Linked DNA regions of Macaca mulatta. The protein of the gene in region 1 purifies or fractionates together with the protein of each later gene. This does not show direct contact. Links are inferred from orthologs where the notes say so. Each region holds a gene or a part of one and is shown on either strand. Other genes may lie near its edges.

Region 1 (7,249 bases):
TGTTCCCTTCTTTCTGGCTCATATATTTTGCCAACCCTTTATTCCACCTCTACAGTCTTCTTAACTTAACTTTCCAGGTGGCTTGTTCCAGTTTGGAATCATTCCACAGCCTTTAAAGCAACCCTGTTAGGCCCTCTTATAAGCTTGAAAAGGGGAAAATAATGCTGTAGGAAGAGAAGGTATGATTTCTGAGAAAAAAACTAGAAAATACATGTACATAGTCACATGTCTGAACTGCAAACCCTCTGTTCATTTTGGCTATATTAAAGGACAAGATTTGTCTGGAGAATGGGAGGAGGCAGAAAGTATTAAGAAGTAAGAAATGTTCCACTCTCATCTGATAGTTGAGAGAATATGAAGGGTGGGGGGAAACTACAGACATAATCTGAACTTATGAACAGAAATATGATATTGAACTCAGAAGAGAACCTAGGTAAGGGAACAGGGAAATGAAATAAAACAATATGAATACAATTTGGGGAATTAGCTCAATGTACCCTGAAGAAAACATATCTATGGTAGTTCCCAAGGCAAGAACAGATTTTTTTATTAAAATTTAACTATGTAAAAGTTTTAAAATGTAAATTAAAGATAACATTACCACTTCACTCAGACAGACTTGGCTAGTATAGAGAAGCAGGTATAAAATCCATCTGAAAGGATCTTAAGAAACAAACAAATTTCCCCTTTATAAGGCAATCCTAATTTTATATGGGCACACTGGTACATCTTATAGCCTTACAATAAATTTTAGACCCACAAAATGGAAAACAAAAACCAACTCTGTAAAATAAGAAAGTAAAGTAACTAAAACCAACAACTTCAACATTACATTTTTAAAACTTAAGCACACTGTTTCCTTTTTTTTTTGGCTCATCTATTTTGATATTGAACAACTTCAAAGAAAGATAACATGCCTTGATCCTGCAGATTTAAAACAGAGGCAACCATCACTTCTGAAATAAACTATACTCTCCCAGAATAAGAAATCCTTTCACTTCTATTCATTTTTTTCTTTAGTTAAGTAAAAAAATCAGCCACAGTCTAAAAGACAAGGACCTAATTCTAAGAAGCTTAAATGGGGCTAATACAGCAAATCTGAAATTTTTGTAAATTGCTGAAATTCCCAAAATTGTATTCGTATTGTTTCTGGCTAAGATTTTGAACAATCTAAATCCTTTCTTAAAAGAACAAACAATGGACTGCATATCCCATAGTAACTAAAAAGCTTCAGAGACATTTTTAAAGCAAGTCTAAGCAATTAAGATTCAGCACTGGACTAGTATCCATACACATTACTTTTCATTTAGCATTTCCTTTTCCTTGTTTATAAATGGACTACTACGTGAACTTCATTGGTACAGTCTCCTAATCCTACCTCCCTGAATCTTTGATAGTCAAGTCTCAACACAGAAGTCTAATTTTATAATCTTCCTATAAGATGCAACCCTCTGCTATCTCTCTAATCTTATCTCCTATAACTTCCCCCTCACTCTGCTCCAGCACCACTGGCTTCCTTGCTGTTCTATGAACATGACAGGAACCCTATAGTCTTAAGGCTTTTGCGTCCATGGTTCCCTTTATTTGGATCACTGCTTTTCCTCATACAGCTATAAGGCTGCTACCTTACCTCCGGCAAGTCTCTGATCAAATGGCATTCACAATGAGGCCTTCTCTAACCAACTTACATAAAATAGTAACTTCTCCCTCACAGAAATCTCTGCCCGCTTTACCTGTTATCACTCCATAGCGTCTGTCACTGTATGATACACTACACTTTACTTGACTGTCTTCTCTCTACTCTAGAGGGGAGGCTCTATCTTTATATTGTCCACTGCTGTATTGCAAGTAATTAGGACAGAGCTTGGCACTGTTAAGTATTTGTTGAATAAATCATTTTTCAGATATATTACTTTCCATATGATTGCTTCTATATATAAAGTATACACGTTATAATTACATATTTTATGTAAAATATATATATGTAAATATATTATATATTCTATTATAGTATTTTATATATAGAGAGAGAGTGAGTGTCAAGCATATGAAAGTCAGGGCAGAGACTGACAACAGCTGACAACTGTCCAGAAATGCTCAGATGCACCTATTTAATTCTGACTGTAATAATTCCTAGCCTATTTTAAGATAGCCTTCTATAATCCTTAAGCTTCTAAGAGTTCTCATTTTTAAAAAAATAGATGTTTAACTAAAAGGAAAGTATCCAAAATAATCTGATTCAGATCACTATGTAGGGTAAACTCCAGCTGATTGTTATCCAAATTGTGGCAATTTACAAAAATTTCAGATTTGCTGTATTATCAAACATGAACTGTATCTGCCTCTCCCATACTAAAATACCAACCTTAAAAACTTTTGCTTAATGAAGGCCTTGTTTTACTTGTCTTATTTACTCTGAGGTTCCTGCAGCAAGACCCAAATGGACAGCGATTTGGCTGCAAGCTGGTGTTAAAATGAAGCCAACTCCAAGAAAGTTATGTAAGTCTCCCAATAACCAAAGCAAAAGTTATTTTTCTACATATTTGCATTCCAATTCTCTAGGATGCCCTACAATGACATTTCCTCTCTCTTTAGGGATTACCTATAAGTGAGAGAAAGAAAGCATAAGAACAACAAAGAAATTGGAAAGAACAAAACACTCAAGTTCTCCAACCCCCAAGTAATGACTTGAGAAGTATATTAGTTTTTGATTAGTCAATTACAAAGCATAAGAAAATTGTATTATCGGCGGGCGCAGTAGCTCACATCTGTAATCCCGGCACTTTGGGAGGCCGAGGCGGGTGGATCGCCTGAGCTCAGAAGTTCAAGACCAGCCTGGGCAACGTGGCGAAACCCCGTCTCTACAAAAAATACAGGGAAAAATAAAAATTGCTGGGCGTGGTGGCCTGCGCCTGTGGTCCCAGTTACTCAGGAGGTTGAGATGGGAGGATCACTTGAGCCTGAGAGGCAGAGGTTGCAGTAAGCCGAGATCGCGCCACTGCACTCCAGCCTAACAAGAGTGACACTCCGTCTCAAAAAAAAGGGGAGGGGATTGTATTTTCTGTGCCTTGCACACAGGTTACACAAGAAGCCTCTTGTGTTAGAAATCAAAGCATGCAGCATAGTTATTTAATTTATACCTGGGTAGTGAAGAGAGCCCCGGACTGGATTTGCTATTGCTGGTGTTTGGGAACTGACAGCTGTCTCTCCGTGTTATGCTCAATCTCTAAACCCTTAGGTGTCAGATGAGAAAGCTGGACTAGAATATCCTCTCAAACCACGCCTTCGTAAGAAATCTGGTGTTTCACTATTAAAACTAAATGCGTGCGATTCTGCCTCCACCTCAACTGCCACAACACTCAAGGAGAGACAAACGTTAATGGATAAAACTTACTCAATTTAAAATGTCTGTTACGGTTTCTTTTCTTACATTGACAGCATCTGCTAACGTTTACCGCCTCTTAAGCGCTGGCAAATGATTAAAACATCATCGTTGCTGATGTGTATTACCTCATCTAACCTTCACAAAACCCAGAAGATATAAGTATCATTACGTCTATATTACAGACTAAAGTTTAAGGAGATTACATAACCTGGAAAAGATCACCAAGTAAATGGTAGGGTCTGGCTTTGAATCTAAACCCTCTGGTTCCAAAGTCTCACCTCTTAACCACTACTCTACACTCTCTTCAAAAAACAATACACTAAAACGTTAACAGAATTACTCTAAGTTTCACTTTTTTGGTGTGTGGATTTGTGTTTTTGACCGATTGTAAGGCTTATGTATAATATAAGCATTTTTTTGTTGTTAAAACTAGAATTATTCCGTCTTTATGAAGACAACACTATGATCTCCACGAGCACAATCATCCAAATGCAGATGGGAACCCCTGTTCTAACTCTCTGAGGCCTGAAGTTAGTTTTCTAGCACTCTCTCTCACACGAGGGAAATGCGCTTACGGCCACTTCAAAATCTGCAGTAACCTGTGTCTGTTTATTAGGGACCTCTTGGGCGTGGGTAAGACAATATTCTTTCCCTGCAGCTCGAAATAAGGGAAATCAACGGATGACCACTACCGGAACAGAGTTCAGATTGCAACTCATGAGATCTCTCAGTTCTTTCCTTCAGTGAATTCTTCCGAGCCCTTCTCAGGTGCAGCTTTGAAGGTTAAAACGAGACACTGGGACCAGTGGGTCCCTAAGACGCGGCAGCACGGACACAGGTGTGCTTCCCTGCTCGGTGGTGCTAAGGACCAAATTCTGAAGCCTCCTTAGAGACCAAGGGTCTACCCATGGGGTTCACCAGGCCTCCTTTCCCGAGGATCGGCCCTTGACTCAAAGAACTGGGGCGGGAGAAAAAAAGTCGCTTTCTAGAAGCCGCCCAGTCACACCGCCACTGTATTCCCCTCTTTCCCTCCGCGGCTCCCCACACGGTCCCGGGGAGAAGAGCTTCCAGTCTCTTCCATGGACACTCAAAGATGCCGAGCCTCGGTTCCCAACCGGGAGCGGCCTCCGCGGCCGGGCTGCAGGTACTCACCGTCGTTCTCGTCGCTGTGCCGCCGCCGCGACATGCTGCCCTCCGGTGCGCCGCGGAGCCCAGAAACCAGGCGGTAAGCGCCGAGGAAACTGTCCTGCCGCTGGCCGGCGCAAGGACAGCTGCGAGGCGCGCGGATGGGCCGGCACGCAGGCGCACTCGCTCGCCACGGCTCCCGGAAGCTCAGGAGAGGCCGCCGGGTGGGCTCGGCGCTGCTAGAGCCGGCGTGAGGAAGCTCAGTGGGCTACGGGCGTCGGGCACACACGCAACCGCCCCCTCAGGCTGCCCCCGCCTGCCGGCTGCTTCTTTCTCCCGCCTTCCGCTCTGTGTCCTTCCGGGGCCACGCAGAAAGTGCCGCCGTTTCGGCCAGTCAGAGACCCCGGACCGCTGTCGTCGTACGCCTGAAGGCGGGTGGTGCCGGCGGCCGCTCTAGTCCCCGCCTCCGCTCAGGCCGGTCCTCCGGGGCTTCTCAATGGTTTTCCCGGCGGCCCTTGCGCCGACGTCCAGGAGACTTCCGGAGCCTGGTGACGTCACGAACGAGCTTTTCTACCCAAACACGCGACGGGGAACACACTGCAGGGCGGTGAGCGGTAACAATTGCTAGGTGGAAACAGTGCAGGGAAGAGAGACCTAAGAAAGGATCAGGACTGGCGGGTATGTGCTCGTCTACTCCCACTTTCTGGCTTTTGCCGCCTTGGGAAAAGTGGGCGGAGAGGTTGGGCCAAGCTCGGCATGCGGGGTGGGGCCTGGGCGGGAGGCGGTGCCGCACGTGCCTCCCCCTGGGTTGGAAAGGCCGGCCCTGACGCGAGCGTGCTGCTCCCGGCTTGCCGGCTGGCTGTCATTTTCCCTAAGTTGTTTGCTTAAGAAGGAACAAATGATTGTTTTAGTAATCAAGGGTTATTGGGTACCTGTATGCCTGTGTGTGACCGTCCCCTGCCCTGATGTCTTTATGAGTACCATACTGGCTTATCTGCTTTGTCCATGGCCATCTGAAATTTCACTCTCCCGGCCTAATTCTCTTTCAGTCTTACCCATTTCAGTAAATGACGTCATCCATCGGCTGCTTAATCCAAAAATTTAGAGAGTCTTTCTTAGCTCTTTTCCCTCACTTTTTACATAACAATGATCTGTAAACCCTGCCTGTTCTCCTTTCAACACAAATCCTGAATCAGATCGTGTTACTGCTCTGTTTAAAAGTCTCCTGTGACGGCCGGGCGGGGTAGCTAACGCCTGTAATCCCAACACTTTGGGAGGCCGACGTGGGCGGATCCGCTTGAGCCTAGGAGTTCAAGACCCATCTGGACAACGAGGCGAACACTGTCTTTACAGGGAAAAAAAAAAAAAAAAAAAAAAAAATTAGCCGGGCCTAGTGTTTGGCTCCTGTAGTCCCAGTTACTCGAGGGGAGGGTTGGGGGCGGAGGTGGGAGGATCCCTTGAGCCCAGGAGGTCGAGAATACGGTGAGCCGTGATCACACCACTGCACTCCAGCCTGGGGGACAAAGCGAGACCGTGTCTTAAAAAAAAAAAAAAGTCTCCTTCGACTTTCCATTGCACACTCCATACCATGGCCTGTGGAGTTCTACCTCTCCTCACTGTACTCCAGACCCTCTTTCTGTTCGTACAATAAGTCAAGCTTGTTCTTATTTTAGGAACTTATACTGTTTCCTTTACCTGAAGGTCTCTGGTTCTAAATCTGCGTGACTGGCTCTTGGTCACTTAGGTCTCAGCTCAAATATCAGGTCCTTAGTGAGGACTTCTTTGGTTACCCAATTGCTGTTTTATTTCATTCAGCGAATATTGTATTTATTAGCATTTAGCACCTCGTAGGTGCCAGGCAGAGTTCTGAATGCTGAGGATGTCGAGGTGAACAAAGGAAAACCACTGCTCTCGTGGCGCTGATATATTCTAACGATCCATTCAGGAATAGCCCCAAATAGTGCCATCATAGGTAGTGAACAATGGGAGACTAGTAGATGAGATCAGAGGGGTAGGGAGAAGGTGCTCTGTAAGGACTTTGAACATTATCCAAGTAAATTGAGAAGTCATTGGAGTATGAATTTTTTTTTTTTTTTTTGAGACAGAGTCTCGCTCTGTTGCCCACGCTGAAGTGCAGTGGCACAGTCTTGGCTCATTGTAACCTCCACCTCCTAGGTTCAGGCAAGTCTCGTGCCTCAGCCACCTAATTAGCTGCAATTAAAGACATGCGCCACCACACCAGGCTAATTTGTGTATTTTTAGTAGAGATGGGGTTTCGCCATGTTGACCAGGCTGGTCTTGAACTCCTGGCCTCCCAAAGTGCTGAGATTACAGGCATTAGCCACTGTGCGGGGCCAGTCTGACTTATTTTTTAATAGTTACCTCTCTGGCTCCCAAAGGAGGAAGATAGTTCTGCTGTTACAATAATTCAAGCTGCAAATGATAGTAGCTTGAACTAGGGTGGTAGTGAAGATGATGGTGCAAAGTGATCTGATTAGATTGTACTTCAAAAGCAAAGCTGGCCAGGCATGGTGGCTCATGCCTGTAATCCTAGCACTTTGGGAGTCCCAGCTGTACTCCCAGCTGCTACTTGGGAGGCTGAGACAGAAGAATCACTTGAACCCATGAGGCGGAGGTTGCAGTGAGCTGAGATCATGCCACTGCACTTCAACCTGGCGACTGAACGAGACCTGTCTCAAGAAAAAAAAAAAAATAGGATTTTCTGAACAAGTGAATGAT
Region 2 (7,219 bases), on another chromosome or scaffold:
GGTGCATAATAATTTTTTCTTGGATATAATTATAGTTTGCTTAAACTTTTGTCTGTTGTTGGATTTAGTCTTTCCATTTTTCACACATAATTTTTATGTATTAAAGCAGGCCTTATAGTAGTTTTGATCTGAGCTTTGAAAGCTGGCTTTGAATTCCCTGCACACTATTATATGTATTACATAATATATATTATGTATTATATATATTATTTATATTTTTTCTTTTGAGACAGAGTCTTGCTGTTGCCCAGGCGATTCTCCTGCCTCAGCCTCCCGAGCAGCTGGGTTTACAGGCATGTACCACCATGCCCAGCGAAATTTTTGTATTTTTAGTAGAGATGTGGTTTCGCCATTTTGGCGAGGCTGGTCTGAAACTCCTGGGTTCAGGTGATCCTCCCGCCTCAGCCTCCCAAAGAGCTGGGATAACAGGCATGAGCCACCGTGCCCAGCCAGCACTGCACACTTCTAATTAGTCCAATGACTTAAGCAAGTTTCTTCATTTCATTAAGCCTTTTTCTTTTTCCCTAAAGAAGATTATGGTTTTGGAAATATTTTCCTCATGGGGTTGTTGTGAGAGTCCAATGAGATAATAAGGAGTGGTGCTTATTACAAAATCAAGCGCTCAACAAAAATAGGATTCAAAGCCATTTTTAAAAATCACATTTCCTTTCATTGGCTTGATTAAATTGGGTACCAATAAGATAAACAAATCTTGATTAGGTTAAGATTAGTATAAAAGACCTTTCTTCCAGGGTATTCAATCATTTAGAGCTTGTCTTCGGTGCTCAACTTTAGTTATCCCAGATCACTGAAGCTGAGATGGCTGATGAAGTAATTTGCAGTGAAATTTTAAGCGACTGTGACTCTGCTCCAAGTTCCCCAGATCTCGAGGTAAGGAATTGTGAGAAAAAGTGGGGGTGAGGGGAATAGTGGGGTATAATGAGTCACTTTTGATTTTTGGTTTGCTAATGAAGATGTTCTCTTGTCCAAATCCCTCTGCCAACCATGTTTGTTTAACTTTTTGGTTGGGCTTATACGTATCTTTCGAACTGTAGGTTAGTGTGCCCACAAAAATTCCTCTTGCAAACTTACACTGCCATTCCTTCCTTTTTAATAAATGTGTTAGATTGCTACAAAAATGTGGCAATTCTGCCCTCCAGGGCTAGGTCTCCTTGATATTTCGGATGCAGCCGTGTAGTGGGAGCCTGCCAGGAGAAATTCCTCTGGGATCTTGGGAGCTTGAGGGCTGAAATGAAGGGTGGCACCCAGATCCCCAATCAATGCATGCTCAATCAACAAACATCTAACAGGACCTTATGTGGTAGGCATATTGCCAGGCTGTGGAGATGTGAATATAAATAGTATCCGGCCCCTCATTTGAAGGCGCTCACAACCTAGTTAAGAAACCACAAAACAATGAAGCGCGCTGTGGAGAGAGGCCCACTTGTCCTGGGAAATGAGGGGAAGCTGAGGTTTGCAGTGGTTTGGTTGAAGGGGAACTACATGTTAGAGGCACAGACTGGGTGCAGGTACACAAAATGGAACGAGAAGGGTGGAAGGAGACATCCACAAAGTAACCACATGCTGGGGTGTCGAAGGCTGTGATTTACCGTTTTGAGGCTTTACCTCGCCTGCAAAGGGGGGCTAGTCTGTTAACGGTGCAGATTGGAAGGGTGACATTGGAAGCTGTCCTGGGAAGAGAAGAAATTGGAACTAGGGAGCAGGAGGTCTACACAAGAGGGTGGGACAGACAGGACTCGTGATTAGTAGCTCTGGACTGAGGAATTCTCCCTGCTTTCTGGTGTGGGAGAGCTAGTGGATGATGGTGCCAATAACCTGGATGGAGAAAGTAAGCTCCCTCCTGGAATGATTCATTCACAACCTCCATTTTCAGCAATATCCCATCTACTAGTGCTTCCTGGTCAGGATACAAGTTTCCTGAAACTGCTGCTCTGTTTTGGGCCTCACCCGGCCAACAGCTCACTAGCTGGCAAGCAGTAGTATCAAGATGGCGGCCCCCTAAGGGCTGGCTAGTCATGTGACTTCGGGTTTTCCAAGTTTGAAGCCGGGCAGTCCGTTCGGGGGCAAGGTTCACCTGTCACGAAACGAGTGTCACTCCTTCGAATCTCGCGAGCCAATCAGCATCTGAGACTGGGCCACTGCGGTGAGGCGATCGGAAGATTGGTCCTTTCCAGTCGCCTAGCTAGGGCCAATCACGGAGCGTCCTATACTTCGCGGGCCCGCCCGTAGGCCGGGGAGAAGCAGAAATATCGTCACAGCGTGGCGGTATTATTACCTAAGGACTCGATAGGAGGTGGGACGCGTGTTGATTGACAGGCAGATTTCCCCTACCGGGATTTGAGAATTTGGCACAGTACCCCGCCTTAGAGGTGGGGTCTCATTTGATTGCCAAGTAATATTCCCCAATGGAGTACTAGCTCGTGGTGACGGGCAGGCAGCTTGACTAATGAGTCCTCGGCGTGGCCGGCGCAGCTCTCCAATCGCCGGGCGGCGGGCCCCAGTCTGAGCGGCGATGGCGGCGGCGGCGGCGGCGGCAGCAGCAGCGGGGGCTGCGGGCGGTCGGGGCTCCGGGCCGGGGCGGCGGCGCCATCTTGTGCCCGGGGCCGGTGGGGAGGCCGGGGAGGGGGCCCCGGGGGGCGCAGGGGACTACGGGAACGGCCTGGAGTCTGAGGAACTGGAGCCTGAGGAGCTGCTGCTGGAGCCCGAGCCGGAGCCCGAGCCCGAAGAGGAGCCGCCCCGGCCCCGCGCCCCCCCGGGAGCTCCGGGCCCTGGGCCTGGTTCGGGAGCCCCCGGCAGCCAAGAGGAGGAGGAGGAGCCGGGACTGGTCGAGGGTGACCCGGGGGACGGCGCCATTGAGGACCCGGTGAGGGAAGGAGGGCGAGCCAGCAGGCCGGCGGCTGGCCGGCCGGGTCACTGGAGGCCCAGAGCTCGGGCGAGCGGGAGGCAGGCGGGGGGTGGGGTTGGGCGGGGAATAACGTGGCTGGGGCCGGGTCGGGCCGGGGATGGGTCAGCGATCACTACAAGGGGCCCGGCTGGCTTGATTCGGGCGTCACGGGTGCCTAGTGTTGTTCTAGAGAGGGTAGCTTGCTTTTCTTTTATCACGACCCTCGCATGGGGCGAGGGAAATGGCCGAGCGTGGCTGAGGCCGCGCTCCGGCCGAGAGCAGGGCACAGCCCCTGCGTTGGTTCCTCTTAAGCTCTCTTCCATACCCTCCCCACTTATATTAGGAGCTGGAAGCTATCAAAGCTCGAGTCAGGGAGATGGAGGAAGAAGCTGAGAAGCTAAAGGAGCTACAGAACGAGGTAGAGAAGCAGATGAATATGAGTCCACCTCCAGGCAATGGTGAGTAACTGGCGGTTGCACGCGGAGCCAGGGTTCTCGGGCTGGAAGGGTTGTGGGGAAGATGGGGAATGTGGGGTAAGATACTCGGCACCCTGGAGCTGCTTGTCTGAGCTATTATGACTGTGCCGCGGTCATAATCCGTTGTGTGTTCGCCTGACCTTTGTGAGGCAGAACCTATATTTTGGTGGTGGTAGCCTTGTGCTTCCCTTTGTCCCTGTTATAATTGTGTTGCTCTTTGTTCTTAGTCTACGTCTATCCTTTGTAGAGGTTGCAAGCTCGCATTTGACCTTCAAATCTAATAGTTTTCTTCCAATTGGAAACGCTTTAGTTAGGATTCTAAGAGAAAGCAAGCTGCAAGGGGTTTCCCCTTTAATCTAGAAATGTGGAGTCTCAGCCCACTTAATTTTGCTCACTCTTAAAAGCATTTCAGCCAAAGCCATTCATTAGGGATTTGATTTGGAGGCAGGAGGGATTCCTATACTGTTGTAAGTGTGTATTAGTTTATTCTTTCAATTTATCGAATGTTTAGTGAGTACCTGCTATGGACTCGGCACTATTCTAGGTTATGGGTACAGCAGAGAACAGAACAGACCAAAATCTTTGCCTTCGTTGAGCTAATGGGATAGTGCTGGTGGTGGAAGTGCAATATATTGGTCAAAAACAAGTGTGTGGTTTTTAAAAAATATTATTTTTTCCTGATAGCTGGCCCAGTGATCATGTCCATTGAGGAGAAGATGGAGGCTGATGCCCGTTCCATCTATGTTGGCAATGTATGTGCTGGGGCTCTGATTGGGGTTGGGGGCAAGTTCTTCTTTTGGGGAGTTATTTAATAGTCCTGGAAGGAACATCTCCGGGATCGGTGTGGTTTTGGGGGTGTGTGGAGGGAGTGTGGGAAGGAGGTTAAAGGTAATGGAATGATCAGTAATCAGCAAAGGCTCTGGGTTTGGAAGCAAAAGGATTAGTTCCTCAAATTACCAGATTTCATGTGCTTTGGTGTATAGATGGCCCAGACCAAAGGCTAGGGAGGGTTCCTGTTGAGACAGGAATTTGCCTGGTGCCTGTGAAATTTTTCTCCTCTCATCAGGTGGACTATGGTGCAACAGCAGAAGAGCTGGAAGCTCACTTTCATGGCTGTGGATCAGTCAACCGTGTTACCATACTCTGTGACAAATTTAGTGGCCATCCCAAAGGGTAAGTAAAGGGGAGTAAGTTGAGATAATTTACAGTGCAAAAATAGATAAATTATGTTTTATAGTGAGCAGTAAGTTATTTGCTGTTAACACAGGTGATCTGTGTCATTTAAGATCATGGCATCAATTTTGATATATATCAAGAGTTGCACCTAAATGTCTTCAGAGGCCAGATAACAAAAATGAAGGCTAGGTGTGGGTGGGATCACAAACTAGAAGGGGAGGGGCAGCTTCTACTTGGCCTGTTATGGCCATATGGAAATTCAGGCCCTGTGTGTCTTATTTTTACAAGTTTCAAAGAGTAGCTGGAAATTTTAAAATTTAAATGATTTTGAATGAAATTTTCCATTTAGAAGAATTTTGACAAATAAAAAATGTAACCACATTGTAGCCCAAAAAGAAGCATGCCTGCAAGTTGAATTTGACTTGTGAGGTATTTGTAACCTCAGAGAGATACAATGACAATTCTTTTCAGATTTGCGTATATAGAGTTCTCAGACAAAGAGTCAGTGAGGACTTCCTTGGCCTTAGATGAGTCCCTATTTAGAGGAAGGCAAATCAAGGTAAGCCTATGTCCATTGCTGTTCTGGTTCTGTATAAACTCTCTGGGTTGACTTTAAGGCTATCATTTGTTCATCTCTGACTCAGGTGATCCCAAAACGAACCAACAGACCAGGCATCAGCACAACAGACCGGGGTTTTCCACGAGCCCGCTACCGCGCCCGGACCACCAACTACAACAGTTCCCGCTCTCGATTCTACAGTGGTTTTAACAGCAGGCCCCGGGGTCGTGTCTACAGGTCAGGATAGATGGGCTGCTCCTCTTCCCCCCCGCCTCCCATGAGCCCTGTATGCTTCCTTCTCTCCTGGTCTGAGGAACCTCCCTCCCCCACCCCTCCCTGTGGTCTTCAGGAACTTTGTCTCCTGCCTGTGCAGGGTGAGGAAGGTAGTTGCAGGCCAGGCCAGAAGGCCAACTTCATCATCTTTTCTGCAGTAGGAATTGGTGATAAGGGCTGCATCCCTCCCTTGGTTCAAAGAGGCTTCCACCCCCAGCCTTTTTTTTCTTGGGAGTTGGTGGCATTTGAAGGTGTTTACACGAAGCCCGGAGGAACAGGGCCTCCAGGCAGTGAAAGCACTGCTTGGACATTTGTTACTTTTTTCTTTTTTCGGAGGGAGGGGTTGAAGACTGAACCTCCCTTGGAAGAATACCAGAGGCTAGCTAGTTGATCCTCCCCAACAGCCTTGTGGGAGGATTTTGAGATATTTACTCTTTATTTGAGCCAGTCTTGCAAGGTTAACTTCTCACTGGGCCTAGTGTGGTGTCCAGGTTTTTGCCTTGCTTCACTTGTCTCTTTACATTTAAATAGACAGGTTAGGCATATAAACCTTGGCTTTTCATAAACTCTACCTGCCTATTCCCAGGAGTTAGGGAGGATCTATTTGTGATGGCCTAGGGTATAAGAGCTGTGGAGGACTGAAAACTGGATAAAAAGAGGGTCGTTTTTCTTGCCCTTGTTTCTCACTCAGATGCACTTCTTTTTTGCCACTGTTTGGCAAAGTTTTCTGTTAAGCCCCCCTCCCCCTGCCCCAGTTCTCAAGGTGTGTTACTATTTCTGGGATCATGGGGTCAGTTTTAGGACACTTGAAAACTTCTTTTCCCCACTTCCCTTCACAGTAACTGGGTCAAGGGCCCACGGGGAGGGGCTTGTACTGAACTATCTAGTGATCACGTTAACACCTAACTCTCCTTCTTTCTTCCAGGGGCCGGGCTAGAGCGACATCATGGTATTCCCCTTACTAAAAAAAGTGTGTATTAGGAGGAGAGAGAGGAAAAAAAGAGGAAAGAAGGAAAAAAAAAAGAATTAAAAAAAAAAAAAAGAAAAACAGAAGATGACCTTGATGGAAAAAAAATATTTTTTAAAAAAAAGATATACTGTGGAAGGGGGGAGAATCCCATAACTAACTGCTGAGGAGGGACCTGCTTTGGGGAGTAGGGGAAGGCCCAGGGAGTGGGGCAGGGGGCTGCTTATTCACTCTGGGGATTCGCCATGGACACGTCTCAACTGCGCAAGCTGCTCCCCATGTTTCCCTGCCCCACTTCGTCCCCTTGGGGGCTGCTCAAGGGTAGGTGGGCGTGGGTGGTAGGAGGTTTTTTTTTTACCCAGGGCTCTGGAAGGACACCAAACTGTTCTGCTTGTTACCTTCCCTCCGTCTTCTCGCCTTTCACAGTCCCCTCCTGCCTGCTCCTGTCCAGCCAGGTCTACCACCCACCCCACCCCTCTTCTCCGGCTCCCTGCCCCTCCAGATTGCCTGGTGATCTATTTTGTTTCCTTTTGTGTTTCTTTTTCTGTTTTGAGTGTCTTTCTTTGCAGGTTTCTGTAGCCGGAAGATCTCCGATCCGCTCCCAGCGGCTCCAGTGTAAATTCCCCTTCCCCCTGGGGAAATGCACTACCTTGTTTTGGGGGGTTTAGGGGTGTTTTTGTTTTTCAGTTGTTTTGTTTTGTTTTTTTGTTTTTTTCCTTTGCCTTTTTTCCCTTTTATTTGGAGGGAATGGGAGGAAGTGGGAACAGGGAGGTGGGAGGTGGATTTTGTTTATTTTTTTAGCTCATTTCCAGGGGTGGGAATTTTTTTTTAATATGTGTCATGAATAAAGTTGTTTTTGAAAA

Evidence for each region. Proteins that work in one complex are often made in the same cells at the same time.
Region 2: the proteins of NCBP1 (region 1) and PABPN1 purify together in Homo sapiens (co-immunoprecipitation; 3 studies listed by BioGRID and IntAct, with this or other methods). This does not show direct contact. The link is inferred for Macaca mulatta from reciprocal best matches to the Homo sapiens genes NCBP1 and PABPN1.

Annotation. Positions count from the first base shown.
Region 1 is NC_133420.1:60,764,080-60,771,328, forward strand, and holds the start of NCBP1 (nuclear cap-binding protein subunit 1), read right to left. Parts: upstream 4,819-7,249; 5' UTR 4,572-4,818; coding exon 4,538-4,571; intron 1-4,537. UniProt on the Homo sapiens protein: Component of the cap-binding complex (CBC), which binds cotranscriptionally to the 5'-cap of pre-mRNAs and is involved in various processes such as pre-mRNA splicing, translation regulation, nonsense-mediated mRNA decay, RNA-mediated gene silencing (RNAi) by microRNAs (miRNAs) and mRNA export.
Region 2 is NC_133412.1:96,418,981-96,426,199, forward strand, and holds the start of PABPN1 (polyadenylate-binding protein 2), read left to right. Parts: upstream 1-2,515; 5' UTR 2,516-2,533; coding exon 2,534-2,884; intron 2,885-2,994; exon of another isoform or gene 2,995-3,100; intron 3,101-3,248; coding exon 3,249-3,363; intron 3,364-4,065; coding exon 4,066-4,133; intron 4,134-4,447; coding exon 4,448-4,554; intron 4,555-5,028; coding exon 5,029-5,116; intron 5,117-5,201; coding exon 5,202-5,353; intron 5,354-6,314; coding exon 6,315-6,354; 3' UTR 6,355-7,219.